Linked DNA regions of Daphnia pulex. The protein of the gene in region 2 purifies or fractionates together with the protein of the main gene of each other region. This does not show direct contact. Links are inferred from orthologs where the notes say so. Each region holds a gene or a part of one and is shown on either strand. Other genes may lie near its edges.

Evidence for each region. Proteins that work in one complex are often made in the same cells at the same time.
Region 1: the proteins of pre-rRNA-processing protein TSR1 homolog (region 2) and RRP12-like protein purify together in Homo sapiens (affinity purification with mass spectrometry; 3 studies listed by BioGRID and IntAct, counting the BioPlex papers as one, with this or other methods). This does not show direct contact. The link is inferred for Daphnia pulex from reciprocal best matches to the Homo sapiens genes TSR1 and RRP12.
Region 3: the proteins of pre-rRNA-processing protein TSR1 homolog (region 2) and protein LTV1 homolog purify together in Homo sapiens (co-immunoprecipitation; 4 studies listed by BioGRID and IntAct, counting the BioPlex papers as one, with this or other methods). This does not show direct contact. The link is inferred for Daphnia pulex from reciprocal best matches to the Homo sapiens genes TSR1 and LTV1.

What each region holds. Positions count from the first base shown.
Region 1 is NC_060018.1:13,078,890-13,089,011, reverse strand, and holds RRP12-like protein, read right to left. Parts: upstream 6,323-10,122; 5' UTR 6,178-6,322; coding exon 5,953-6,177; intron 5,889-5,952; coding exon 5,651-5,888; intron 5,592-5,650; coding exon 5,195-5,591; intron 5,138-5,194; coding exon 5,065-5,137; intron 4,982-5,064; coding exon 3,593-4,981; intron 3,532-3,592; coding exon 1,750-3,531; 3' UTR 1,685-1,749; downstream 1-1,684. Other genes in the region: solute carrier family 13 member 5-like, read left to right, coding at 969-1,167, 1,241-1,389, 1,467-1,565; transmembrane channel-like protein, read right to left, coding at 9,041-9,103, 9,243-9,449, 9,613-10,122.
Region 2 is NC_060018.1:6,274,508-6,284,456, forward strand, and holds pre-rRNA-processing protein TSR1 homolog, read right to left. Parts: upstream 6,359-9,949; 5' UTR 6,184-6,358; coding exon 6,072-6,183; intron 6,005-6,071; coding exon 5,734-6,004; intron 5,668-5,733; coding exon 4,622-5,667; intron 4,556-4,621; coding exon 4,338-4,555; intron 4,263-4,337; coding exon 3,999-4,262; intron 3,936-3,998; coding exon 3,626-3,935; intron 3,570-3,625; coding exon 3,379-3,569; 3' UTR 3,358-3,378; downstream 1-3,357. Other genes in the region: uncharacterized protein LOC124188662, read left to right, coding at 1-212, 287-405, 471-540, 610-688, 775-950, 1,048-1,210, 1,287-1,722; 3-hydroxyacyl-CoA dehydrogenase type-2-like, read right to left, coding at 7,044-7,262, 7,356-7,645, 7,714-7,798, 7,863-7,970, 8,039-8,095, 8,316-8,324. UniProt on the Homo sapiens protein: Required during maturation of the 40S ribosomal subunit in the nucleolus.
Region 3 is NC_060017.1:1,278,120-1,287,974, reverse strand, and holds protein LTV1 homolog, read right to left. Parts: upstream 6,317-9,855; 5' UTR 6,163-6,316; coding exon 6,160-6,162; intron 6,074-6,159; coding exon 5,903-6,073; intron 5,832-5,902; coding exon 5,664-5,831; intron 5,595-5,663; coding exon 5,501-5,594; intron 5,428-5,500; coding exon 5,295-5,427; intron 5,227-5,294; coding exon 5,034-5,226; intron 4,969-5,033; coding exon 4,810-4,968; intron 4,738-4,809; coding exon 4,542-4,737; intron 4,473-4,541; coding exon 4,255-4,472; intron 4,185-4,254; coding exon 4,071-4,184; 3' UTR 4,023-4,070; downstream 1-4,022. Other genes in the region: uncharacterized protein LOC124197216, read right to left, coding at 1-977, 1,051-1,454, 1,562-1,702; dmX-like protein 1, read left to right, coding at 2,930-2,957, 3,030-3,253, 3,312-3,413, 3,476-3,589. UniProt on the Homo sapiens protein: Essential for ribosome biogenesis.

The DNA of each region.
Region 1 (10,122 bases), about 6.8 Mb from region 2:
TAACAAAAATACCTTTGTTTAGCAAAATTTGGTCCAAAATTATTTGGGGTTATTTTTTTTTAGCCATGTCCCTCCAACTTTTTCCGTTCGAGTCATACCCATCAGTTTTCATGTGTGCAACTCGCTTGAACCCTCATCCCTGATTGGTTAAAATATATTTTACATAGAAGTTTTCACCATTGAAGGAAGAAACGTTACGTAACGCATTTTTTAAATGAATCACACTTTCACCTCCGGTTCAAACCCAATCCCTTTTTTGGAGAAGATTCCCTTTTGAGGTGAAGGTCAACCCTGGCAACATAATCATGCAAGAATTGTGCTGTAAGTGACTAACCTTGGCCTTTAAATTCCTGACATGACGCGTGAAGTGAAACTAATTGCACAGAACAAACTGAAAAGAAAGAAAAAGGGAGAAACTTACTGATATCAAGTTCACCTTGCATCACGGGGGAATTCCACCAGCAGCTCCTCCTCGTCGTTAGATTGCATTGGTCATGGAACAACCGGAAACCAGATGAAAAGGCTGTACGAACAAGATTTGCATGAATAAAAATATACAAGGTTGTGGGTGGCCAATATAATGATGCAGCACAAAAACGCAACTTGGGGGTTGTTTCGTCGGTTTGAGACCACAATAGGCGGAAGAAGGAGAGGCGGGACAACCGGACGGATCCACACACGGGCCACTGTCTTAAAACAGCGGCACGGGCAAGTCTCAGTCTTTAGTTGTTTGCACGCAGCGAGTCGAGTCACAGTAACGTGAGTGGGAAATCAACAAAAACAGAAAGAACATTTGCTCCGATTATTTTACCGACGATTTCCTATCATTAAGAGTTAACGAACTTGTTTTTTTGTCCGACGTGCCAAGTCAATTTAAGTCTATTGAACCCAGGTTGGACCCCCCTTTTAGCCGGAATCGTTTAAGTAAAAACGTCTTCCAACGTTTTGCTAGCAATCAGTCGACATAAAATCCCCAATCAATACTTACGCAGTGCCGTCAGTTCGAACCGGTCATTGTCGTAAAAATGATGAAAGAGTGCGGTTTACTTTTCGTTTGCTGGGCGACTGTGGTGTTGGCTGGAATATTACAACCTCTTCCCAGCCATTCAGCGATGGGAGACTGCCGATCCAACGAAGATTGTGGTCCCAACCGGTGCTGCCTACTTGGTAATCGTTGAAAAAAAAATTAAGATTCTCTTCCATCAAATTAAATATTAAAACGTTGTAAATTGAACAACAGGTATGATGCGGTACAGTACGCCGTGGTGCGCGCCATTATTGAATTTAGGTGAAGACTGTCGACCGACCAGCAGTAACGAGCCTTCAATAACCAATAGAACGCTGGCTTACCCTGGAGGCCTTGAAATCTTCCTTAAAGATGCTTATCAGGTTTTTGAAATTTCATTCCATTTTCTCTCTCAATCACAAACCAACAAATTTCTCTTTTTCTCTCAAAATGCCAAAAGATTCTCTGCCCGTGTGACGCCAATCAAGGACTCGTCTGCAGTCACCTAAGCGCGACGTGCATCTCCGACGAAAGCCTGAATGACATTTCACCACTCTAAAACTCGATCGACCTGATTTTTGTTTGTTTCAAAATTCTTCTCTCTCTTTCTTTTTTAAATGTCAAATTATTTCACGTGCGATTTCGTCGATTAAAATAAACCACAACAAAAAAACCGAATTTGAATTGGAGAAATTTGATTTGATATATTTACCATTTCATCATCGGGGCGGGAAACAACGCAATTATTGATTGGCCTTGTTGGCTTTACCCCGGATCTTGCTACCTACCGAGGCTCCTTTGCGCGCCGCCTTCACCAGTCCCTTAAATTGACCACTCATCTTCGCCTTTTTCCTTTTATTGAGAGCATTGCGGCTCAGCGGAACGTAAGCGAACGGATCAGGTTGGCCCTTGCGCTTCACATCACCACGTGCCTTTTCGCTACGGTATTCGACTCCGTAATCGGCCGGTTTCACCTTCTCTTGACTCTGCTGGGCTCTCTGCTTGGTCGTCAATTTGTGGACGGTTCGCTTGGCTGATGATGGCTTGACGGCCACCGCAACCGGTCGATGGATACCCGATCCACCCGCTTGGTACTTGAACGAAGGTTCGTCTTCTTCGTCGACCATGGATTCGTGGTCGTCGATTTTACGTTTGCGGTCCACCTCCATCTTGTCCAGCGCTTTGCTCAAGTCGACGTCCGATTCCTGAGAGGAATCGGATGAGTCGCCACCATCATCGATAATCATTCGACCGTCGGGGGCTGTTTTGAAGATGCTCTCCTTCTTCTTCTTCTTCTCGGCCGTCAATTGCGCCAGCATGGCGCGCGCAGGATTAGTCGATGACACTTTTTTGGCTGCAGCTGGATCCAAAAAGTCGACAATGGATCCTTCGTCCTCTTGAATCCACGTCTTGGGCGTCTTCTTCCGCACGTCCTTGTCTTCTTCATCATTCTCCAGTTCGCTGTCACTGTCGGCCAAAACGTGTTCCATCGTCTTGGGTTGCGTCGCCATTTCCGTCTCGTCTTCATCGTCTTCCTCCTCCTCATTTCCGGCCGCTTTGCGCTCTTCCTTTTGCTTCTTCTTCCGCGCTTCGATTTTGCGGATGTTATTCAACCGCTTGAGGAGGACAGTGTCATCCTCGGGGACGAGTTTCATGACCAAATCGGCTCCACATTTACGGATCAGCCGGATGAAAATATCGCGCGTCTTGATGAGGTAAGTCCGTTTGAGTTCCTCGTCCATCGAGCTGAGGCCGGTGATGAGCCGCTTCAAGTAGAGAGGCAGTCGCTGCGAGTGGACGGTGACGGTGAACATGCGGATGAAAACGAGACAGGCCAGGACGACATCTCGATTTCCAGTCACCAACAAGGTGCAGATGCTCTCCAGGACAGTGTCGATGAGCTCCTCTGTACAATTGGAAGCGAATTCGTGGACAACGTAGGTGACGGATGTGACAGCCGTGGCGATGTGAGCCTCGTCATCGCTGGACATTCCCTTCATTAGTTTAGTGACGTAGTCTCTGAGTGCCACTTGCGGATCAGAGGACCACTTTTGGAAAATGCGTCCGACATCGACGAGGAGCGCAAAAGCGGCGGCTTTGACCTTTTCGCCGACTCCTTTGACAGCTAATGCCGCCTCTGAAGCAGAAGCGACCAGGAAGCGACGGTTGGGTGCAGTTGACGGCTGCTCGGCCAATAAAGCGACCAAGCGAGACAAAGTGCGCAACCTCGAGGCCCGACTCGGTGCTTTGACGATATCTCTCGAGCTTGTAAATAATTTGACAATGCGGCTCAAACTGGCGCGGACGTGACGGCCACACGGACTGGCCTCATCGGCACCGACGATTTCCTCCACAATGCGATAGGCTTTCTTCTGGGGTTTCGACTCGCTGCCCATGATCCACGGTAGAACGAGCTGGACAAAACTCTCGACACGGTCCGGGTCCTGGTAAACCACCAAGGCTCGCAACAAGGCCAAAACAGACTCCCAGATGAATTGGTTCTCTTCCGCTACAGCCTTGTCCTCCTAATGGATAATAAATCATTTAGACATTTGGCTCAATAAAATTTGGTGTTATTTCATTTACCGATTTCAAACTGGCCGATGCTGTCGTCAATTTCTCCTTGGCTTTATCAAAGAGCGAGTGGAGCAGTTCTGTATCGGCCACTTGCAGGTAATAGGTCGTCGTCTGGAACACGGATTCGCGTTGAGACTCTTCCTCGTCGGTGGTCGATTTGGTGGTAAACAGGTTGAAGAGCAAAGGAATATAATTCTTGGCATAACGGGCCACCTCGACCCGAATCTTGTCGTCCGTCTTTGAATGAATAATCAGCTGACGAAGAGCGGCCATCACGTCCATTCGAATGTCTGGTCGATCAGCCAGGGCTTGGCCCAGCAATTTGGCAATCTGTTTGAAGGAAACTTCAACATCTGTCGGGCACTTGCAAAAACCCGGCAAAAGGGCCCACATTTGACGCTGGAGGAGGTCAAATATCCGAAAGCCAACCCGATCCTGATCTTCTTTACATTGAGGGACTCTTGCACGACACATCTGGGCCAGCGGCAAAAAGTATTCGATGAAGAATCCGAGTTCCGTGTTCTGAATGTTTTCACGCAAAATGGGCAGGAGCCAACTGTATGGGAATTCGTAGGAATTCTTTTCTTTGCCAGTGATGCCCAGCGGGATGCATTTCAAGAGGAATCGAGGGCCGCAAACACGAACTGCTTTGCCGATAGCGAAATCCGCTTCAGCTTCGTGCGGGAAACGTGGCGAAACGCGCAGACTGGCCAGCGATTTGATCAAACTTTTCAAAATTTCCGGACGGCTTTTGCCTACTCCTTCGATCAAGGTGGTGCACAAGTGGATGACGTACTTCCAGGCTTTGACCGTTTGATAATTCAAACTTTGCTCAACGCTTTTAGTGATTTTCTCGGCTGCCGATGTGACGGCGGCCATATTCGCCGGCTGATTGAATGCCGGTTCCAGACCCTGGCTGATGAGCGAGGCCAGCGATGGAGTGACAGATAAAACCACTTCCATCCTGTCGCTGGACCAGAGAACTGTGGCCACGCTGAAGAATCTTGGGAGATGACCGACGCAAAGGAGCGAGTCCAGTCGGCCGAGATTGAGAAGTGCTTGGGTCATGACACTCAGCCATCCGCGCAGGGGTTGCGTGTCGTTGGCAGAGGGTTGGTAGTCGTAGAGGGCAGTGATGAGACGAGCGTTCAGATCGGCAGACAACGTGATGGCCCTGGGTCGGCAAATAAACATGCTGTGGAAACACTGCATGGCGCAAGAGGAGATGAGAACGTTGTTGAGTGTCATGAGCTTCAGCAAGGATTCACACAAAGGTTTGACTTCGCTTTGGGGCAAGACGGCAACAATTTCTTTCAAGAGGTTCAACAGATGGAGTAGAGGCGATGGTTCGCTACCAAATCCGTGCTCTTCAATAAATGTCAAACAGAATTTGCCCGTCTGATGAATACAACAAATAAATACAAATTTGAAAATTACTTTAAACAATAAATCAAAACTACTAGTAGGGCCTATATTCATACCCGAGATGCAACAGGGTGCAATATGGGAGCGTCTTCATCTTGAGTCAAAAAGGTGCTGCCTTTCAGGATAGAGCTGTAAAAAAAGAACAATTAATTATGTACTAAAATATTTGACGCTATTTCAAATTACCAAATGGCGTGTTGTGCAGCTTTGCGAACCTGTGGCTTGGGGCTGGACACAAATGTCAGTAATGCGTCGTAAATTTGCAAGGTGGAAGAAGAGGACCAGGCTGAAACATCCTGGTTTCGAAGTAGAACACCAAGACAGCCGACCAGCGACCGAATCAGAAGGCTGTTGTCACTTTCAATGTATCGGCCCAGCAAGTCGAGTAGACATTTGGCTGACGTTGAGAACTTGACTTTGAGAACACTGGCGGGAACTCGTTTGATGACCATACCCAAAAGTGCAAGGGTAGCGCCAAGTGAATCTTCGCTAGTCTCGGCCACTTCCAGTGTCGTCATCAACACTGCAAAGTATTCCGTGTCAGTTTCTTTGCCTCCTTCCTGTTTGATGACTTCCGAAACAGCTGCAGGAAAGAACAAATTATAATTGGGCAAAACTAAAATCATATGCTAAATGGCATACCTGCAAGAACAGCCAACATTTCTCTATGAAGAGATGAGGTTGGCGTGAAACCTCTGTGTAGTTTATTGAAAGACACATTGCTACAGTTGGAGAACCCTGTGGCAAATGTCTTGACTGAGCTGCTGGATCGGAATGTCTTTCCAGAGATGACTGAGTATGTTTCGTCATCATCAAAATCTCCATGGGACACTGACGGGGGTGCAGTGATGACTTCAACAGCAGCAGAGGGATCATGGGGCTGTCAGGCACACAAAATTTTAATCAACATGACTTGAACAAATAAAACAAAAGATCAAAATTACCTTTGACGATTCAGATGCATAAGTGTGCTGCTTCAAAGCTTCTTCAGTCAAACCACTTTTCTGGGTAGAACCAGCCGGTGGCCCGAATAAAAATGGCTGGAAAAACCTCGTTTTCGCCACTTCGCGATGTTTCTTGATTGTGGGGTTGGAGCTGCTACTCTGTCCCTTTGCCCATCTTTTGCCTTTATTTCCAGGCCCCTTGATACGAGTTTTTAATTTGCCCATGGCGTGATGTATTCAGAAAAAGCACCGTCGTCAAATACACTACGTGCAATTTTATACTGGTTGACTCTGGCGAAACTTGCCAGTGATTTTGGTAATCAACTAGCACGTGTGTCGTCAACCAACTGAAAAAGAATCTGTCGTCTGCTAGACTCAGCGACGTTGGCAGTTTTCCATTTTTCCAAGAAGCCGTGCGCTTGGAAATGTTTTTAACAGCCGAGAGAAAAAGGGAAAAAAACAACAGATGTATTTCCTTTTTATTCTATAAATAATTTAAAAAAAAGCATCAAAGTAATTGGCACAATCAACGACCGATCGATGCGAATTGATCGGTTGGTATATCTATAACGGTCCAAAAAGTCTGTGTTGTTTGTCTTCTTGACGGGTTGTTCGCAAAAGTCTGCAATATAATGTGTGTAGCAGCCAGCCTACATAGTACCGCGGGTTACACGCAATCTCTTTCTATTAGACCTTTATTTTGTTCTCTCTTTGCCTTTGTTTCCCTGGGCGATCGATTCTCCTCATACTCATCTCTCTCTCTCGGTATTAAACTGTAATATCTATTCTTTAGAGTCTTGGACGTCTCCACAGTCTGCCCATGTAGTCTAACTTTTCTCTTTTATAGATAGATAGCCGCCGAAGCCACGCCGGATGTGATCACGACTGTCGGCATAGTGAGGAGGAGCTGATGTTATATATAATCAAGAGTTGGAAGACACAAATAGGCGGACTCTCTATCTACTGCATCATGTATATAGTCACCCGAAAGATGGATATAATATATATATAAAGGGCAGGAGGGTAATCAAGAATGTCCGGTGTGTCTCGGAATCAGCGGAAATGATCTTTCGACATTCGTGAACAACAACAATAAGACGGGCAGGGCGAAGGCCAGCGAGGTATACAACGGTCGTCTATAGCGAATGAATGGCCGGTTAATGATATATACACACAGATAAATATAGTTGACGTTGAATAGAAAAAAAGGTCCTTATTAATATTAGAGATGATGATGATGTTGAATTGATTTGCAGGTCAACTGTGAGAGACCAGCTAGTCTTTATAAGGCTTTAATACGAGGCTTGCACACAAGTTTGACTGGAAAAAGTCAACCCCCACTACTCACAGAAATCCTGTGAGACCAATCAGAGAGAAGGAAAAGAGGCTTTCTCCAAATTCTGTATATAGCTACACACGCTGGTCTTTATTATACGGCGGGATGGAAAGATGTAAGAGTTGGCATCACGAGGATGGATGGATGGATGGAAAAAAGAGTCGCCGAGAAAGAAGTTCATTAAGGCTCTTCCTGTCGTCCAATTTGAGATGACAATGTCTCAGCCGACACATAGTCAATAGAACGACAAAGTTGGTGGTGGTGGCCTAGGTACAAAGTATCACGCGGGTTAAAGCAGCAAAAGCGGTCGTGACTGGTTTTATTGAGTCATCATCAACTATACAACAAGCGTCGGATAAATAGACGAGTCAAACTTGTCTCCTATCTAATATAAATGAAGGCCTTTTGTAATTTAAACGATTCGCCCGAAGAAATACTTGAGAAAAGAATCGAGACGATGAAAATCCGCCCAGTCGAGTGCAAATAACATTTCTCGATTGGTTCGCAGTGTGGTCCCTAATGTGCAACAGCTGTTGAAAGAGACATGATGTGTGTTTGTCGTGTCTGTCTGTGACAGTCCGAGCGGTACACCGCAAAATGTGTGCCGTCAACTGTTTCCAACTGACGTGAGAGATCTGTTGGAGCATTGATCATTCGCTCCTTTTTTCTCTCTATTTCTTCTAGTGTACACACAAAGTCGTCGCCAATTGTATTGCGTGTTGAATGGGGAAATCGTCGCCTCCGCCGGATGAGAAGCAAACACTCGTGAGCGATGCGTCCGAGTTGAGGCAGTACGGATCCGCACCACCAATCCATTCGTTGGTAAGAGTTCAATTCCCATCCAGCGTTGTCTCTAATATTGATTCGGTATATGGCCGGAATTATTCGAGTGAAATTGGATCCAAGACAACAGGTCGAAATCGGATGCGCTCGGGCGAAAGCGACGCCAAGACGATCCAGCATCAAATGAGTGGAATGAACACGGTCCTAATAACTGCCGGCCAACCAATGAGCACCGACCGGAAGTCGTTGGCAGCCGCCACAGCATCGCGACACAAAGAAATGGAAGAGCCTCAAGACTTTGAATCGATCGTCAAAATCCGCTTGTTTCTCGCAACGGCAGCCCTTTGGCTCCTTTGGCTCCTAGTTTACGTCATCCTCTCCCACTGGCGCCTTATTTGAGACATAACATACCCCACGATCCGCACCACAAATTCCGGCGCCATTCACGCGCACATCCTTTCGGGCTCCGGATCAAAATCGAAATGTTTCTCTTATTTTTTGAAATTTTTGAAATTTTTGTATTTTGTCATGTGCGGAGAAATAATTTCTTTTTTAAGAATAAAAAGATGAAAGTGAAAAAGCGGGAAAAAATGTGGCAATAACCGACAGTAGAGACAAGAGCCAATGACTAGTCCAACACACCAATAAAAGAAGGAAATCAATTTTTGGCGGGAATTTCAAACAAGAAAAAGGAGATGATTAAAAAAGAAGTAGAAATTGATACGTGTACAACACACGACAAAGACAATATGATACGTCAAAAAAAGATTAATGATTTTATATTCTGGTAGTACTATAGCTTTTTCTTATCCAATTTTTCGGGGGGGTTGTGTTGCGCGTTCCGGATGTCGCCGTGAGTTATCGATCGAAAGTTCCCTCGTCGATACCACACGGCCGCCCATTTTTTTCTCTTCTTCCTTGTTTTCACGTGATATATATTTGTTATATCTGGTTGTGTGTTTGGTTTTTTTATTGTTGATTTTCCGTGACGGTGGGCGTTTCGTCCGAAATCGAATCCAAAGTTTCATCCATCTGAGAGATTGCGGATCATTCCGGGAAAAAGACAAAAGTATAGAGATAGAACATATGTTGAACATCAAGAAAATGATATTGCACTACTGCTGGGCGGAATAGAATTTGAGATTTAGGAGCCGAGAGTGAATGATAATACCTTTTCGTGATCGGGAGTGTCGGCTCGGCGGGCCGTTTCTTCCATGTTCAGCACCAAATCGGCCGTCGACTCGCTGACAGTGATGGGCTGCTGTTTGATGGCCAGCGCCCGTCTCTCCTTTGCCCGTTGCAAAATCAAATTGAGAGCTCCGCCGCCGTGCTGAATTTTGGTGGGCGACGTGGCAACCAGTCCCGTCGTCGTCCCATCCTTTTTTAATTTTTATTATCCCGCAGGCAATAATATGATTAATTAATTCATTAAGACTATTTAGAGCAAAGCATAGAGAGGAAATGAGCAGCTAATGAAATTCCAGCGTGGGCAATTAATTTAGGAAATGATGAAAACTTAATTCATTTCTTGTTAAAATTACCTCCAGCGATGGCGGATCCGTCATGGGAGTGGGCGGATTCCTTTCGGCTCTCTCCACGCTCTCCGTCTGGCTGATGCGGATCAGTGGGATTTTGGCCGGCGATCTAGGAGCGTCCGTCATTTTGTTAAGCGGCTCCTGCTGGTCCGGCTGATGACTGGCTAGTTGCTGGTCTACTCTCGGCGGACTGTTGATGTTGTTGTTCGGTTTCTTCTTCTTCTTGACCACGGAGGCATAGACTGGCTGGTGGTGAGGCGGACTGGCCGGCACTGCTGCTCCTGGCAAGGGCGGCTGATGATGACCAGCAGCGCGGCCGTTCAAGACGGGACTGTCGTGCGGCAACGAGTCGCTAATATCCAAATCGCTGGCACCGTCAAATTCAGTCGTGGTAGCAGCAGCGGTGACTCCTCGTGATCCTTTGACTGGTGGCAGTTGCTGGCCACGTCTGAGGCCAACTTGACGTCCCGTCGTCATCCCAACAGGAGCAGCAGTTCTCGGCTGGGCTCCTGCCGA
Region 2 (9,949 bases):
AAAAAATTATTGGAACTTTAAATTGAAACCCCATTTTTTTTGTGCCGATTTTGTACGCTTCCGAAGTGAGAAAGAAGTTTCCTACCAGCCACAAATTTTCCATTGCGCAAAACAGGAACACCACGTATCTATTCATTACCCCGTCCTTCTCTGCATTTCTGCTGTGGGTTTAATACTCACATTAATAATTTATTTTTTTGTTCCAGCTAAAGGTAATAATAACTCATTCATGTATATCACATTTAACAATATTAAAACCCTCTCTTTTTTTATTTGGGTTAAATAGGTTCCGCCAAATTAGTTACGACCGGATTTGGAGCAGGAAGTAGGGGAACGAGAACTCCGACTATGGCCACGATGTTGACGGGCCGCATTCTACTTTGTCACGTCTTCACTCTGTCTCTGGTATTTTTGAATAACTATTTAGATGATAAGTTTACGCACAGTTCTGAAATTTTATTGGATTTTAGACGTTCATTTGCTTAGCGATGGTTCAACGAGAGTATTTTCCGCCAATCCAAACTTCTTGCGTTGCCATAGGTATGACTTTACTGTCAATAATATTTCCTTCGTAAAACGAATCTAGACCGAAATTTTGTTTATGGACAGGTTATTTTATTTATGGCGCATCGATAGCTTCATTCGCGTGGTTGACTGTATACTGTTTTGATTACTACCGAATTTTCACGTAATTCAAAATTGTATAATTTTCAATTTTTACGACCAAGTAAATTTATTCGTTTCACAAAAAACTCTGCTCAAAAACATTTTTAGTGGCGCATTCAAGGTGTCCAACGACATGCTATTCATCCCGTATTCGATATTCGGATGGGGCGTTCCCATCATAGCTCTTATTGCTATGGCGATTACACAATTCCAATCTACGGAGCTTGGTGTTTCTGACAGCGTCAATCCAAATATCGGTCTTCTTAACTGTTGGTTTCCTCATGGTTAGTATTTGCTTGGCCCACTTTGTTGAACGGTTGAACCATATGGTAGATAGCCTAAATAATGTTTTTTTTTTTTTTTTTTTTTTTTTTAAATTAGATGGCATTTCAGCACTGGTTTTCTTTTATGGGCCTGTTGGTACCTTGCTAGTTCTCGACATGATATGTTTTCTCTCCTTGATTTTCAATCCCAACCTGATGCACTGCTGGAGGAGGAAACAATCGATAAGGAGCAACAAAAAAGTTTCAAAGGAGCAGGAAGAGTAAGAAATAATGATCGTGCTATTAAATGAATTATATTTTAATTATGTTGATGAAATTTGATTTTCTTTGAAACAGTTTTAAAATGGCGTTGAAACTCTTTTTTATCACCGGAGTCCCATGGGTGTTTGAACTTGCTGCTTGGCTGCCTGTGTATCTATCCGAATCTCAAGCCATCTTTCAAAGCAACTCCGTAGGAAGATACTTCTTCGAAATCGGCAATTTGCTCAACGCATTGCGAGGAATCGTCATTTTTATCATTTTTATTGTTTTACAACGAGATGTTCGTCACTATTTGATGCTTCGCCTTAAGAGAATTTTCAAGAGAGATTCTCCGACTAATGTAGCTCTCCAGCATTCTCCAGGCAATACCGATGGAGGCCATTCCGTCTCAACTGAACAATTAACCAATAGGCGAATTTCCGCAATGACTTCTCAAACACTCGTCGCATCCTCTGCGTCGGAAGAGCAGAGTACCAATGAACCTGAGTTAGACGAGATAAGCATTTTATAGCGAAACAGACAACACAATTTAAGAAATATATAAAATCAACAAATGAAAATAGATCTAGAAAATCTGGTTCAAAAATGATTAAAACAATCGACAAACTAATTTTGCATTGAAAGGTGCAATACGCACGTACGATATTTCAATTGAATTAATTCAGCGATGTTATCAAAGATGTTATTATAGGAAAGTTTTTTTAACCACTACTAAATAACAGTTTCAATCATAAAAATTTGTCCAACTTCCTTCTTTCATTTTCTCTGTGGAGGAGCTTGCTTTATTTATTTATTAAATTTTTTTATGATTCTTGAACCACATTTTTAATTGTTCAACGTGCCAAAATGTCTACCCATCTACGTATCTAATTCCATCCCTTTCTGCGCGCGTGAGTTGTCTTCTAGAACTGATCTTCTTTTTTAAATGTGTTTAAATCTGTATTTAATTTAAAAATAAAATGTCAAAATTTAGGGTATTCTGTTACTGTTTGAGGCCAATATGATTATCTTCCTCTTTTTTTTCATGATACCTGCCGTCTTAGCCTTACATCTTTCTCTAGTTTTCTTTTCCCTCATTCTCTTCTTTCAAATATTCGAACCAACCCGACACAGACAAAATCATAACAGCTCAAAATTCAGATTGCTTGAAATAAATGTTTAATAGTTAGTGTTTTTTTATTTTGAGAGCATCAGGCAATCAACGAGACAACGAGTAGACGTACTTTCGGGGAAAGTAAAGGGGTGTTTCCAATTTATGCAACTCAACCACCTGATGCGGAATGAATTTTCTCTTACAGTATATGACAAAGAATCCTTGTGACCATTTAAAAAACGAAATTCTTATTACACCTAGCATATAGCTAGTATACAAGAAACTAATTAGGAAATTGCCAAAGGACTCAGACTAGCGCTTTAATGGTATTGTAGCGGAAACAGCGACCGGACACCATCCGGGAAGGGTAAAGAGCAGCGACGGTCAGATGACTGTTTCTACTTTTCCTGGTGACGACGCGCCACAATAGGGATCAGTTAGACTCGGGCAGTGACTATAAATGGATGCAACTTAACAGTCGGGATCAGTCTTGGATTTGCTGTATGCCTTTGAACTTTCTCAATAGACATGTGCATCGGATTCAACCCAGAATACACATGTGTATTCTAGAAGCTGAACGGCATACAGCAAATCCAAGACTGATCCCGACTTTTAAATTGTGCTACATTGGGTCTAACCGATCGTTCAATGTCGACTGACCGTCGCTACTTTTTACCCTTTCCGTGCAACCTCTACAATACACTAGATGGAGCCAATAACTTCGAAATCATCCATGTTTCTAATAAACGGTAGTAGCGCATAGCGCAGAAACTACAGAATATGACACAAACTGCAAAAACTTCCATTATTGCTTCCATTATTGTTTTAGAAAATTGTTTGTAGATGAGAAAAATTAGATTTTGTCCCATCACTCAGAGTATTTCCTAAAGTGAAATTAATTCTCAAGCATGTAACAAAAACTAGCAAAATTGGCTCATTTGAAACCTATCGAGCAATTAGTAACTTTAAACAAGTGTTAAACGATCATAAGACTAATCATAAGACAGAAGGTTTAGAAACTAACCAACATTGAAAAACAGAAGAAAATATGGACAAGGTCCAATCAAATTTTATTTATACCATTAATTGATTGGCAGCATCTTCCATTTCTACTTCATGATTATACAAAGGAGATGGAGACGCTACGTTAGGATCGAAGCTCCACTTAGGGAACACGCGTTTATAAAGATTCATCATTACTGTGTCCTGGGATTTGATTTGGCCATCAAATACACATTTCATGTGTCCGTGCGTTCCAAGTGGTTCTGAAATTTAAAAAGTTTATAACTATAGTAAAAAGAAAGTTATCATCTATGCAAACCTCGGATGTGACCTCGTCGACCATATTTCGTTCTTAATTCAACTGGTTTGAACCATTCGATGTCCTCACGGTTGAAGAACATAAAACGCAGGACAGCAGATTTGCGGTGAACTTTAAATGGTGCTCCACTCAAAACGGCACGTTTAACTGTAATGCGATCAGGATTTACTGATAAAACCGATCCAGTCGCTATCATTACTTGAGTTCCGTCCTTCTTTTCCCGAAATACCAAGACTGAGGCAGATGGAAAGATAATTGGCGCGTAAAGAGTTGCTACTACAACTGATTCTGGCCGAAAGAAGCGCTCATACTGAACAAAGAAAACTCCTTGATGAACAGTACATACAAAAATTAGATAAAAGATAAACATTACCTTATGCTTGTTGGCTGCAGTGTGCTGACTAAAAATGGGAGCAGCAGCATACCGCCGATAACCGCAATGAAAGATCAGTCGCTCTTTTGACGGAATCGCTTGCTGATCCCGTGCATTTTTGAACCTCTTAAGAACAAGATTAACCACACTCATTCTCTGTTCGTGAGGCAACATGCCAACTAATGTCAATGGGTAGCCGGATTGGAGACTCGCTGGTAAATGGCTGGGCACGTTCTTAACGTGAACTCTCACGTACCATCCGGGCTAAGAAAATGTAATTTTAGAGCATTCAAGTTTTTATCAAATTGAACCGCATAAGAAAAATAAAAGTCACAATACCTTTGCTCCAGTTCGTTCTTCTTTCAAGATTCGCTTTCGAGTCCGCGGAAAATTTTGGAACTGAAAAGTTCTGGAATAATCCATGGGTAGATTTTCTTTGGCATCCCAAGGTGATGTACGAAAGGATTTCAAACCACGATACTTTTGAAAGCGTACCTTAGCCAATGTGTCGCGTGGCGTATCCACTTCGTCAGGGAAAAGTTCATCCTCACGAGCTTCTGTAAAGTCAACACATTTTTGTTGGAATTGATGGAATCATGGTTAATTTAGAAAAAAAAACATACCCTTAATTTTTTTAAATTCTTCTTCTTCATCTGCAAATTTAACTTTTTTATCGTACACATCCGTGTCTCCACCTTCGTTGTCTACTGATTCCATTTCATCCTCTTCAGCTTCTTCTTGTGATTCTTCACTTCCATCATCTCCAGACATTTCTTCGTAATCATCTTCCCAATCGTCACTATCATCCTCTTCTTCTTCATCGTTTTCTTCGTTTTTATCATCGCCCTCGTCTTTGATCCAAGCGGCTTGATACTCTGATGTTCCTTTTGGTACTCGTTTCTTTTTTTCCGATTCTTCATCATCTTCAATTTTGTCCGCTTCCATAGTTTGGCCTTCCATTTCTTCTTGGTAAGGCCAAGTCTGCTCACCGTTCATAGGATCAGGATCATTTTCGGATTTCAGTGATTCTTGAAGAGCGGGATTGGCCTCTTCCAGGAAAATAAATTCTCCGGGTTCCCTCCTGACTTCGATTCGCTCCATTTGAAAGTCTCCCCATCCAGGTATGTGGACTAATCCATTCACGTTTAAGGGTTGGTAGCGTACGTATCCATCGACAATCAAACTTCCGACTGTAGGATCATCAGAATTTTGCTTGAAGTTCACTTCTTCACAAAGAAAATGGCATCTCATATTTCTTTGATAGATAGGTCGCTGTTTCTGGGACCCAATGTGATGCAACAGTCTGAGAGCATCACTTTCATTTTCAATCACTTGAAGCTTCTCTAATGGCACCATCTGATCCAGCTGTTTCATAAGAAGCTTCTTGTAATCATTTCGTTTCTTCAATGAAATGGTCTCAATGTCATTAACAACAAAAATTGGAGAAGGAAGCCCCTGTGCCATGATGGCAGACAACAACTCTTCACCACTGCTGTCAAAACCCAAAGGCCCTTCATTACTTGTTGAATGAGACATACAGCTGTCAGTGTCAGAAGGAGGTGATATTATGAATACAACATTATCAACAACTTTGCAAGCATCTAGTGCTGCATATAGATCTCCAGGACGAGGCACTATCAAACTGAAGTTCTGCCGAAAACGTGGCACACTGAAAAACAAGAAAGAAATTAGCAACATACAAATATATGTATATATATATCTATAGGCACTTTACTTGATGTTTATTACATTGGAGCCAGTCATTTCCACTTTTGCATCAGCATCACACTCTTTGATTTGTTTCAACAACTTTTGAATGTTTGCTGATTCTCCTAGTGGGATTATTGCAGACAGAAAAGGAGCTGAATCATTCCCACCTATTGCCCTCTTTTTAGCCAGGACATCTTCTCGTTTCTTTGACCTTATCTGATTTGCTTTCCTTCTTCTTTCATCCCGCTTTAGTTCTTGATTTTTCCTTTTTGATGCTAATTTGACATGAACTCGTCCTAGAATTACCACACTAAGTTAGTTTGAAAATGACGCCAGTAAAATAAAATACAAATATTTGCTTACCTTTGTTGTTCTTGTCAATTTCACTTTTGCTGCGATGTCTCCCATTTTTATGAGATTTATTTTGCTGTTTTAGAAGACCGGGTCGATGTGAAGCCTGTTCACCTCCTGCCATCCCACTATTTACTACTGTTAATTACTTAATATAGTAAAAGAAAATGTAACCGTTCACTTGGTACTATAGACGTTTTACACACGTGGAGTTCGCGGACGGCACAATATTTCAGTGCAGACGACGCTAAATCTTGCAAAAGTCGTAAACGAACAATTTGAAGTTGCCCTACTACATGCTACTACATGCTACATCTTGTTAGTCCGCAAGTTATTAACGCGTGCGAATAATATTATATGTTAATAACTTAATATATATATATTCATGTTATTGTAATACATATAATATTACTATATTGTGTTGTAACTACGTGTACCGCAAGTCCGCATGCGGTGCTGAGCTGACACGCTGTCCAAACGGGCAGCCGCAGCGGGTCAGCGGCCATGCCCAGCGCACGTTAAGTGTTCCTTAGTCCCTTTTCATTATCTTGTGATCTTTTTGTCCAGTCAGAGGCGCCATTTTTCCTCTACCAGTAAATGCTATTGTCCCTCCTTAGAAGTCAGGATTTTTATCAATTTTATCGCTGCAGCAGGTTGCATATTTTTAATTTATACAGTTGTATTCCCAAGCAGTTAAGTATCGTTTCTCCAATCGTCCTCTCTGGTAGAATATCTCCAAACCCGATTAAACATTAAATTAAATTAGAAAACTGAAGTGACCATATAAAAAAAAAATGTCTCAACAAAGTTCCAAAAGTTGGAAGCAATTCACGAAAAAAGTTCGTTCAATACAAAATAATAATATAAAGATTTGTATTATCTCACGAAAGCTCTTTACTAAAGAATAAGCCATTGAACATTGCAAATTACAACAATAACTTATTACTGTTTACTCTGGTTTAGTTTTTAAATGATTGGATTTTTTTACGGTTGCATGCGGATAGCGCCATCAACACGAACCACTTCTCCGTTCATCATTGGGTTGAGTATAATTGATTCAACCATCATTGCATACTCATCTGGCTTACCCAGACGTTGCGGAAATGGTACGGTCTTTGCCAAATATGACTGCACTTTTTCAGGTAAAGACTCGAGCAAAGGAGTTTTAAACAATCCTGGTGCAATGGTACAAACCCTGATACCCTAGAAATGATAATAATTAGTTAACATTGTAACCAGTTTTAACTTGAGCCATTTTATCTCTACACCTCCAGTTAATTAGTTTTATTAAATTACCTGGGACGACAGATCTCTCGCAATCGGTAGAGTCATTCCAACAATTGCTCCTTTGCTTGCAGAATAGGCGGCTTGACCCATCTGACCATCGTAAGCAGCTACAGATGCAGTATTGACTATCACTCCTCTTTGACCGTCTTCGTTGGGCTGATTTTCGCCCATTAATCCTGCCGAAAGGCGAATAACATTGAAAGTTCCCACGGTGTTTACCATCAAAACTTTAATGAAGTCTTCTAGTTTGTGTGGAAGATTTTTGTTAAAATTGTATGTTTTGAAAGCAACTCCAATTCCTTAATAAATAAACAAGCTATTAAACTTTTATTCAAACAGAAATTCTTTTAAATTTAATGAAAATTACCTGCACAGTTTACTGCAACATCAAGTTTTCCAAATTTTTCTTTTGACATGGAAAGAGCATTCATTACATCTTTCTCAGAAGAAACCTATTAGGAACATCACATGTTATTAGTTGAACATTATGTTTTACTTCTTAAACATTATCTTTACATCTGTTGGGGCAAATATAACATTTTCTGACATGCCAGCAGCTACTTGTTGTCCTTTAGAAGTTGGTAGATCACATAAGACTACCCTTCCACCTTGTCGGACAATTCTCTATCAAATGATACAATTATACATCAAGGCTGGATAGTAAATTCACAAGAAAACCAGTTCTGATATACCTCAACAGTTGCCCGGCCCAAGCCAGAAGCTCCACCAGTCACCAAGGCAACAGCTCCCTATTAAAATCAAGTGTTTCAATTACTCCAAATCCATATTTGTCTTCTGTGACGATAAAGGGAAACATATAACGAAAACCGGACATGTAATATAAATACACATCAGAAACTCAAAACTATATAGGGTTCTTGACATAATTTGAAAAAAAATTGTTTTAATATTTACTTTACAGCATTTAATTTTCCATTCCATATACAAATGCAATGTTATTTAACTTACTTTCAACATTTTATCAAACGAATTTTATTTTGCGATTTAAACACGAGTCCTTTTGCCTGTTCCTCGCGATATGCAAGACAGCAAGAGAAGGATCCGAGTACGGCAGCAGACGACCTTACGAAAGTTAGACGTTGACATTTAACAAAAATGGATTTCCCTTTGAAAAGACGAAAAAGTGGTCTTGTTGTCATCCCTTCGATTTGGATAGATGCAGGTTGCAGGTATAAGTTAAAAATGAGCTATAAATGTAGAATAATCCTTAGCTTAGTGTCCCACCCCATTCCATTGGGATTAACAGCTGTCAGTTAACATCGGTAAATTTGAAATTCTTGAAAATAATATTCCTTAGGGATTCACTTTCTCCCCATGGAAACTTTGGCAGTTTACGACATGTTTTTGCGCCTGCCTTTCACCCTTGGCTAGAAAAAAAAAATATCTTGTCTCAAAACTTGCTAAGGAAAAGACCGACACCAACCACATCTTTAGCCTACCTTAAATCCAAGAATAACGGTCACATCGGTCACATAAAGAGATGAATACCTGCATATTTGCTAAGACACAATATTTTTTTGGCATATTTTTTTTATATATTTCGGAGTCAACGACCGAGAACGACCGACTTTAGTGTGCATCTGCGATGCATATAAAGGCTCTTTGCAGCACACTTTTCTCTATCAATCTTTATTTGAAAACCTTACAGATCAAAATGAAGATCTCAGTGATGACAAGCATGATTTTGCTTTTGGCGACTTCTATATGGACTGCAATGGCCAGCGCCATTGCTGTGGAGACTACCAGTCAAAAATCCCTTTGTCGACATACACCAATTGCAGGCAAGTTCCTACTTGTTCATTGTTTTCTTCTTAACTGTATTCTTATCAATTTGAATAGCAAAATTTTTGTGCCCACCGGAAGCGTGCTCACCGAGTTGCGGAACAGGTTATCACTGCATGAAAGGGCAATCTCCCAACGAGCCGCCTTGTTATTGTATGCTTGATTCAGATATGCCATGCGTGAATTAATTATCCTTCGATACCCCGCGAACCTTCAACGTGATATCACAAATTTTTGTACACCGTAGAAAATATATTTTCTGGAATAAAATTTACGACGCTGTTAATCTTTTCGAATTCTGCATGTTAGTTACTCGTCGTGTAAAACCAATGCGCAAGAATTAATAAATCCAGTTCTTTTTATTCATTAAATGTTTTACTACAATGCGTTGAATTCGATCATTGTGCATTTTTCACATCAAACAGTCACGTCCGACATACTTTCCGCATGCCGACATGCGTCACGGACATTTTTTTTATGGGTAATTCCACGTAAAGTGAAACCAAACAGAACGAGTGAAAAAGCCATCGGCGTGATGACTCACCAAATATGGGTCTCCATACTCTCCAAATATACACGGGAAACTTAGAAAATTTCCCATTTATTAGTTATTACGAAATGTTTGCGAGAGAGACAAATAAAACATTTATACTAAGACCTCCGAGATGTCGCACAGTCCACTGCCAAAAGACAATTTGTTTTGTTCTGGCCGTTTTTAATTTGATTGAAGTATTGTTTCTTTGAAATTAAATTTGGACGAAGCCACAACGAAAGTCGCTTAATAAGGAATAGGAGGGTGA
Region 3 (9,855 bases), on a different chromosome or scaffold from region 2:
GTCGCTTTATCATTGAATCCAAAATGTAGTGGAATGTTAGAGGAGTGTAGAAACCTTCACCTCTTCTACATTTGTCCACCGTAGATCGGGTTATGGATGGGTTTGGTAATTTTGTTTGATGACAAATTTTGGCCAACTTTGTTAGGCATCGATTTAAATCAGGTGAAGGGACCAATTTTATGTTCTGAAAGTTTGGTACTTTTTGCCAGCAGAGAATCACTGGGTGTCTTATTCGAAGGGTACGCAAGTAATCTACGGCAGAATCCCTTAATTCAACATGGTCAGCCAATCTTAACCCGTAAATGGTGGGAATCATACTCAATAAAGCACAAAGGGATGTCTCGACGATATTGTTGATCGAATGATGACGGTCAGTTATTATTTTGGTATAAAACACTGCATTCGGGTTATCCGACAACTTTTGGCAGCATGCAACAACTAAATTGGCTAACCCAACATGACTCACGAAATCAGAGCAGTCGATGACGTCAAACTTGTTTGCGTCTGAATAGCAGAATTCCACTGCTTCTTCTAAGTGGAAAAAGATTTTGACTGTTGGAATCCGGCTGCGATAGGAAGACACCAATCTCTTGAGTATTTCGGAGCAGGAGTGGGTCATGATTTCTTCAACTGAAGTAATAAGCTCTCCTTTTGCCATTGGCAGATAACCTTCAAACGGAGTTGATAAGCAGAGGATTTTCCAATCATGGGTCTCGGGATTCAGCAAAGTTGGGTTGACGCACACTGGTTTTTCGTCATTTTGACGGCGACTGCTGCCGTATCTGTAGCATTCGAGCACTTCAACGTTTATCTTTTTTTTAACAAAAGGAGCCAATCCTATGAAATATTCACGATTTAGAAAAAGCTTAGCCAGTTCATTTAGTGAGGCCGTGAAGAGATCAGCATTGCTTAGTTTTGCTTTCTCTTGTAAAAGTCCTGGATATAAGATATCCCACAAGTCCAACAAGCACTGATTCCTAATAAATAAATATGGAAGAATTAGTCTGCACCACTATTATTATAAACCTTTTTAATTAAAGCCAAAGTTACCTTTGTCCCCAGACTTTTTTCAAGAGTGATTCAGAATTGGTTTTGTTTTTAGAGGAAACAGAATGCCAGTTACTCCACAAACTCTTCAATTTATCAAGGTGACTTTTGTTTGGAATTGAGACGTTATCTGGTAATTTCTCATTCGTCAACTCCTTCACAACAAAAAGAAACCTCTTCCTGGTTTCTTCTGGCCAATCCATATTGTACCACACATCCCACAGAAAACCAAAATCTTCATCATTGTCAGGATTGAAATCACTTGCTGACACAATTTTCAAAATTATGATATTTCGAGCCAAGACAGAAGGATGAAAATCGTTGAGATGAATCTCTAAATTTTGAGGATTCTTGGAAGTTGTTGCTTGAAAGGTATTTCTTAGATCACCACAACCCAATAAAAGAACCTTAGAAATGAAAAACATCAAGAGTAAATGGGTGATTGCTTCAACAATAAATAGTCATATTTAAAAATAAATATATCAAATATTCAACAATAGTTGCGAGCAAATACCTTAGTCACTTCATCCACGTCGCTAATATTTCCTACAAAACAGAAATCCTTGAGAACGTTTCGAACTCGTGCGTTCGGGAAAGGTGCAAATTCCGTTAGGTAATCGCTTGCTTTCAGCTCACGTCTTACCGGATTTAACATTTTCTTCTATTTTCAAATCCAAATAAACTGATATGTTGAACTAAGAATGGTCAAATACTGTAATAATACCTTACGTTTATAACAAGCTATGAGGGTTTCGGACTTTTGGCATGCTTTCTACCTTTCTACAATGGTCGCGCCTATTGCACTTCACACGTGAAGTACTCCAACTGTCAAAGTTGCTATTGCACTTCACGCAGCATTGCCAAACTGTACTTGTTTCTCAAAAAATATTTTGAAGTGCATCTAACCCATGTCCCATGTCTAACCTATATATGATTTTTAAAACCGCCGCAGGTTTTCACCCTCCTTGCTGACGTTCGATATGCTCACGAAAGAGGAGCAGAAAAAAAGCTGGGAATATATAGGGAAGAAATTATAACTGCCAATAACACAAACCAAATAATCAAAAAGTGATCGGTTCAACCAAATTAATGCATAATCTTATTAATCCGATCGCCGTCTTTACTTCGTAGTCTATGCTTTTACTTCCGTCTTTTTCTGCTCCTCACCTCTTTATCTCTTTTTTATTCACTCGTCCTCTGGACACGCATCCCATTTCCTTGAATGTGTTTGGACATCTGACTATTTCTCTTTTTCGTTTTAAAATTATCTGTCGCTATCCTTCCTCCTTGCTATCCTTCGCTATCCCTTCCTACACAAATTCGTTACTCTGTTCCCTCCTCCCACACCTTGCAACCGAAAGGGTTGACATTCCCTGGTTCGCAACATCCGCCATTTTTTCAGCTGGTGCTGCGGCGAAGCAAACTACTACTAACACCGGTAACAGCTAGCGTTTCTTTCTGCTTTGTCTCATCTTCTTGTTTTTTACTACTGTGTGTGCCACTGTGCCTCTACCAAAAATCAATGTTATGCTAATTTAATGGCGTTTTCTCTCATCTGCAGTGGTTTAAATAATGACTTTGGCTTGATAGAAGTCAAGTCTGACTTTTTATTAATGTTAACAATCTATTGTTTTTTTCTAGTTACGGAAACATAAGGTGGATGGAGTAAGAAGGATGACGGCCCATCCGTTACTTCCTTTGTGTAAGTTTGGGTAGACTGTGATCGATTGCGGCAATTAATTAATTTTTTTAAACCATTTAACAGTCACATCAATGTCACAGCAAGGGGACATCAGATTTTGTGTTTCTGGGGTCATCGAGTATTTTGGCCACAACCGGTCACAGTTCAGAGTCCCGCAACGTCGTTTTATGGGACACCCTAATGCCCCAACGCAAAGCAATTATTCACTGTAAGTTGGTTCCTTTTAACGTCAGTAAGGTTTGAATATCGCTAACGACTCTTCTGATGATTTTCCCTGCAGCATTTGTATGTCACGAAAACGGAGGCACCAGTTTGCTCTATGCGTCTCAGCATCAGCTCCTGATATCGGCTGGCCGCAAAGGAATCGTCTGCTTATGGGATTTGAGACAACGAACACTTCGTCACAAGTTCACTGCGCATGATTCTTCTGTTGCGATCAAATGCATGGCGTTAGATCCCAATGAAGAATTCTTTGCCACTGGATCTGCTGACGGTGATATCAAGGTATATAAGGTTCTTATCAACCAATATGGAAGTTGTAATGATTTGTATTCACTGAAAGGTCTGGAGCCTTGCTACACAACATTTACTTTACGCGTTTCCTGCTGAACATTCACGATCATCCTTTTTCCGTTCCATGGGGCAAGGAAATGGCGTAAATCAAGTATGTCCTTACATTTTTGTAAATGTGTGGGAATTACTGAATAGCTGTTCAATTTTTAACAGATTCATCTGGACACGTCAGGACGACTCTTTTCTTGTGGCTCTGATGGTTCAATGAAGCTTCGTCAATTACCCTATGTGGGGAGTAGAGAAACCGCTGTCTCAACTCTTTACTAGAAAAACAAATGTTTAATGGGGGCAGTTGCGGGTAATGGCTAAACGTTTAGTTAAATTTTTTTAATATTTCGATTTACTCGAATCCCTTGAATATTTTAAGGATGTCGTTGATACATGTCATTTATCTGGCTGTTCAGATTACTTATAGAATTGGATTGCGTTGTGCTAGTCACGTTTAGTATGCTATTACCTGTCAACCATTCCACTCTTCAGCGTCGTCGCTCGATGTTTCCAAACCTTTACCTTCCTTAAAACCATCACCACACCACCACACACTTTACTAACAACATTCTGAACGGCTGGTAATATGTCATTCCTCCTATTTTGTATGTCGCTAGCACGTTTGGTCGAGCAAGTGGAATACAAATGCGTTACGTGTGTGCTGATGTATTGAACCGTTTACAAATAATTCCAAAACCTCCGAACAAATGCGTCGTGGTGAATGTACATCTGGCGATGTATTCGAAGTTTGAAAAAACCACTACAACAATTTAATGCCACTAACATTTTTACGGTTGTTTATATGTTGTTTTTCTTGTAGTTTCTTTTCTTCTTTGAAAGCTAACGAGTTGGCTTTCTTTTCCTTTCTTCTTTCCTGTTAAGAAAATATAAAATTCAAACATTAATAGTGAAAACTGACACACGAAACATTTGTCGCTTATTACTTGACGATATTCTTTTACAAGTCGCTTCCTTTCGGTTCTCTGCTCTGGTGTTTCATCTTTTGGTCGAATGGATATAGTCGATAATGTGCTGATGATGGACTGCGTTTCGACACAGTTCTTTTTGGTCCCTTCAGTTTGTTGATCGAGTTGATCTAAGAACTTTTTGGTCAGACCGGGTTTCCCCAGGACATTAAGGGGAACACCTGTTTTGGGACACACTACGAATCAAACGAAATTTTTTAATTAGATTTGAGCTTTATGGACACCAAAGTTAAATTTCTTGGAACCTTTAATAATTCTGGAACTCTGTGGTTCAGAAATGAGTTTAGGATGATTGTAAATGTTAGAGTAAGTTGACAGGATAGACTCGCAATCCCATTTACGTTCCTGTTCACCTTCTTCACTTGAACTGCTGTCATTTTCTTCGTCGCTCTGGTACTTTTCCAAGTACCTTTCTACAGCTCCTTCCACCTCGTCTCTTGCCTAAAATTCGATTCACAAGAATGACGTCGATATTCACAACCTGAGAATAAATAAAAGATAACTGCAACTTACTACTTTGCCAATTTCACGACCCAATCTGATGCCTTCTGTCTTGTCATGTTCATAGGCCGCAGCCAATTTCAACACTTCATCGTCTTGTAAGGTGATGTGTCCTTCGATCTCTTCGCAATCTAAAGCGCCCATTTCTTCGTCGTCATACTGAGCCATCATCTACAAATAAAAATCCATAAATACTGTAATCTTTGAATCAAATGAAAGTGGTCAAATCAGAATACATGTTCAAATCTGTCGTCTAGTAACGAGAGCTGGGCATTTCTTCTGATAACTGAACTGGTCATCGAATATTCAGTAAAATGCGATTTGTTATCGTCATTGAAATCGGGTGAACGTTGTCCTGAGTCGCTTCGCATGTCACACAATACGTCGTCGTTTTCTTCTTCATCGTCACCACTGGAGCCATCATCTTCGCTATTAATCATAATTATAAAATGAATATAAGCAAATCCAAATTCAATTCAATTGTCTCGAGAACATACTCTGTTTCAACGTCAGAAGGTACTCCATTAGCAAATGCAATAAAGTCATCTTCTAGTTCATTATCAGGATCATCGAAATTAAAGTCGTCGTCCAAAGCTGCAACTATGTCTGGGTCCAAGTCCGGCCTCGGTCCTACAATTTTCAGTAACTTTTAAATCCTTTCTCAAATTTTGACATTAAATTCAAGGCTTAAAGAAATGAAAACCTGAGTGGGGAGCAGCTCTATTTAGTAGTCCAACTTTTTCTTCCACTTTTGATTGGAAAACTGAGGAGGGCAGGGCAAGTTTGTAGGGATGGTCCTAACCACAAATAGAAAAAAAAATGTCAACTAATAGTTCTATCATACAGCCAATCCTATAGATCCTTACTGAAAGTCCTCTGGCAACTGGTGCTTTCCAGACTCTTGAATTTTTAGAATCTTCTGCCAGTTCCCATTCAGCAGTTTGTTTAACATCACGCAAGTGCTGCAGGTAATTATAATCATCATCAAAGTATATTCCAAGTTTAGCTAGTTCTTCTTTCTGTTGGGCAGGATCCTGAATATTAAAACCTTTTATAAATCACACTTCCCTTTAATTTTGATTTGTTTATTTTGATTTATTCATACCTTTGGTTTAGAGGATGCAGGGATTTCAGTACTTTTTTCTGGTTTCAGAGCAATTGGAACTAGAACTCTTTGAGGAGCCTGCTCGTCAGCGGCAAGAGGATCCTTTTGACTTCGATGTACCAAGTTGAAGGTGACTGCATTTTTCTTGTCTATAAATTTCTTTGTTTTGGGCTGTCAAAAAGAGATGTCAAAACGAAATGTTATCATGGTATTATTTTCAAAAAGTTATTAATGTGACTAAAAGAATCTTCACGTACCATTTTCCGATAGTGTAAATAGATCTAATCGTAGTTAACTGAATAAATCAACGGACTTCACAAAAAATGTCAAACAAGTACCATGCAAGTACAAGACCACAATCCTTCACGCTTCTAAAACCTGTACATTCGTCTGCTCAACACAGAGCAGTGAAAAGTGATTGCCAGATTTAAAATGTTTTATTTTAATTGCAAATTTGGCGTAAATTTTGATATTTATCTGTTATTGTGGTGGAGTGGAGTAAAAAAAAATCGAATACGGTTAGCCGAAAAACATTCACAATCATATTTGGTGATATAATTTCATTTTTCAACGAATTATTACACGAACTTTGGATATCGTACAGAGATGGCGTTTACACGGAACGAAAAATAGTTAATTGTGGAACAAAAACTGTAGGCAGCGTACGTACGCCGCAAGGTACCCGAAGGGAATGTTAAGGGTATTCTAGTTGGTATAGTAGTATTGGTATAGTTTTACAAAGACAGAGTTATAGAATAGTTATAGAATAATAAAAATATTCCGTTATAAAGGTAGGCCTATTATTAAGATGGATTAATAACATTTAAAAAAAATTTATGCCCTTAGTTTCCGGAAGATTGTAATAAGCAAAAATCGAGAAAGAGATTAAAAGAATATTTCCGCATGTTTCTATCCAAACATTAAATAAAAATTAAATTCCAAAAAAACCTAATATGATATGGCGCGGCGTAGGGGTAAGGCGTGACTTTGGTGCGGCGGAGGCTTCGCCCCACCACCCCACGTCACACCGGATCTTGTTAAAATTAAATTTAAGTAACTACCTATCAGCACTTCTGTTACTGGAGATTGATAGCGTTCGGTGATAACATACAGTGACTTCTATTCTATCATACAATAGTAGTCGATTGTCACGTTACGTTTATATCCCTGTCACATGTCTCTGTATTATCGTCTGCTGTAACAGCTATTGAAATTCTGTCAAAAAGTAACCAGAACTCCGTTTGATCAAATGCCTGAATCGATTGCAGCCAAATTTTCAGAATAGATGTAAAAAATTGTAAGCTACCGATTACTGCCATTGAAATGCAATAAAATTGTTGATTACAATCAATAATTGCCAAAAACTAGTGCATCCATCTATGTAGTGTTACGAGAACTGAGGGTGCCCATGTAAACCATACTGCAAACGAAACTTTGACCAGTAACCCTTCGGGTAACTAAACACAGTCCTTTTACCACTTTTGATAGATTGTTATGAATTACTAACGACAATACGAGCGACCCATTTTCAAAAGCCACACCAGTACACTTAGTGGTTTTTTACTAATTTATGTGGTGCTGTATGACAGAACAGAACTCGGTGGTGACTAGCTACTCTTACGCTTTCCTTTCAGAGATAAAAGTCATTTCTTGGCAGCCGAATAAAGTGACCGACAGCTAAGAAAAGGGACGACGAGGAAATAATTAATGCCAAGTAACGCCTGAGAAGAGCCGAAGAATTGGTCATCGTTTTTTAATGGCATTTGTTTAAACAACTTTCTTTCATTATATAAAAAAACAAATGTTTGTTAAATTTGTTCCATTCTTAATGTACTATGCTGCTCCATTCATATTTTGTATTTATCGCATGGAGCGCAGGGTCCGTCTTTACTTTGAAAGACTTTCAAAAATTTATGCCTCATTAAACTGGATCAATAATTCAAATAGCCGAATGCAAATTTGCGACGGAAGCCGTTTCCGAAGAAGTCTAGAACCAATTAGGGATCTGAACTTCATGGCCAATGAAGTGAAGTATTTTCAGCTTTCAAGACACAGTTAATAAATAAATGGTATCAACTAGTTAACGAAGTGATGCCGTATATATAATCGACATTTGTTACGTAACCTTCTGTTAACTTCGCTTTCGTGCATTGCACAGCGGGATTTTGTCGTAACTTGTTTGTATTTTTATTAGATTGCTGATGATAATTTCTGTGAGATGACCGTGACTTGATCTCCTATGTACTAGACAGTGTGATGATCTAAGACTCCAAGGTTCGGCAGAGAAACGTGACGACGCGCATAGCAGAGCTCCAATGACACGATTGAATTTTAGATACATCTCACGAAAAAACTTTCACTTCTGTTCTGTTGGTCTGACTCTACAAAGAGCAATCTAATGTATATATACGTATATAGATCGTTTGTCACGTTATATCATACGGTAAGCTTTTCGCTATGTGACTCTGAAGAAATACGCGAATAACAACTGTTGTAATACAATCGAACCGGACCAAACTGGCACTTTTTTCCCCTTCATTTGTAGCGCACGTCCTTGATTCCGTTGAGCATCCCAGCATGATCCAACAGTTGAGGACCATTAAAATAAAGAAACAGAAAAAAAACGAACGTAATGCAGCTCAACACGATGGAAATACGCCAGCGCAATATTCACGACGAAACAAAAAAGTGAAAACGCGACGACGACGTCGAAAAACCATCAAAATTTCTCTTTCTCGCCAGTCAGTTCTTCACCTGGATAGAGTACGGACTTAGCGGAAGGGACCATGGGAAGACCGAATGGGTTGATTTTTGTTGTTCTGTTTTTTAGTAGGACATCAGCTCACCTGCTCCTGACGACAGTGTCTTGCTAAAGTAGCACCTATGCATTGAACCCTCATGGGTTTGTTTAGCTGCTGCTGTTCGCCCTGGTTTCCGGCACCACCTGGCCCGACAGATTGTGAGACCGCCACCAGTCCTGATAAGAGAAACATCATCTCATCAAAGCAGTCGACGTTCGGTATGTATACAGGCCAGTGTTTTATTGGACTTCGTTTCCAAACGAGCGACGATCCGCGATCAAATTGTTTTAGTGGATTGTATCCTACCTGTTGGCGTGTGAAGTGTCGAGGCTTGACATTGGGGGAATCGAGTGCCAGTACAGGGTCGTTTTTTATGTGGTCATTCGCAAAACATTAGCGTCCGTCGAGCTTGACTGTTGCGGCTGTCTGTGCATGCATGATGGGCTGGTGATACCTTGAACGAAAAACAAGTCTTGTTTCATCGAGTTTTTCGCTATTGAGTTCGATAATTGTCCAGTCGTCGAGATCCACTCGGCTGAAATGGCCGAGTCCAAACTTTTGTCCTCCTACCTATGAGTGTTGTACAAGCGCATTTCCGCACGGAATATTGTCTCTTCTTTTTTCGCTCACGGAGAGGTGTTCCCCCCCCCCTTTTGTATCCGTCTAGGAATACAGCATGTTGCGATTAGGTAAGTTTTCACCTTATTGATGGTTCTAAAAATTGAAGATTTTCCGAGAAAAGTGCCAAAAAAGAAATCTAAAAACGAACTCGGCGTCCTGATTAGCTGGCGCGATATAAACTGATCGCCAATTGTTCGCCCATTTCCTTGCTGGACGCGATAAGGTTTCTATATAAAGACGACTTCCCTTCAGCTTTTTTTTTTTTTGCTTTCGCGTTCGCAACAGGTTGCGAGAACAAGTACCGCGGGAGTACTGTCGAGAACCAGTCGTCATTTTAGGGACTATTTCTTTGTTATTGTTTTGACATTCATCACATTGTCATTTTCTCCTGGTCGTGGTCGACACAATGGACTTTCAAACACAAGTTGGCTACGCAAGAGTAGTTTCCTCGTCATTCAAGGCATTCAGCCGCATTCTCTCATTTCTTGTAATGGAAAATGAAAACACAGAGAGAGCCCCGGGCAATGGGTG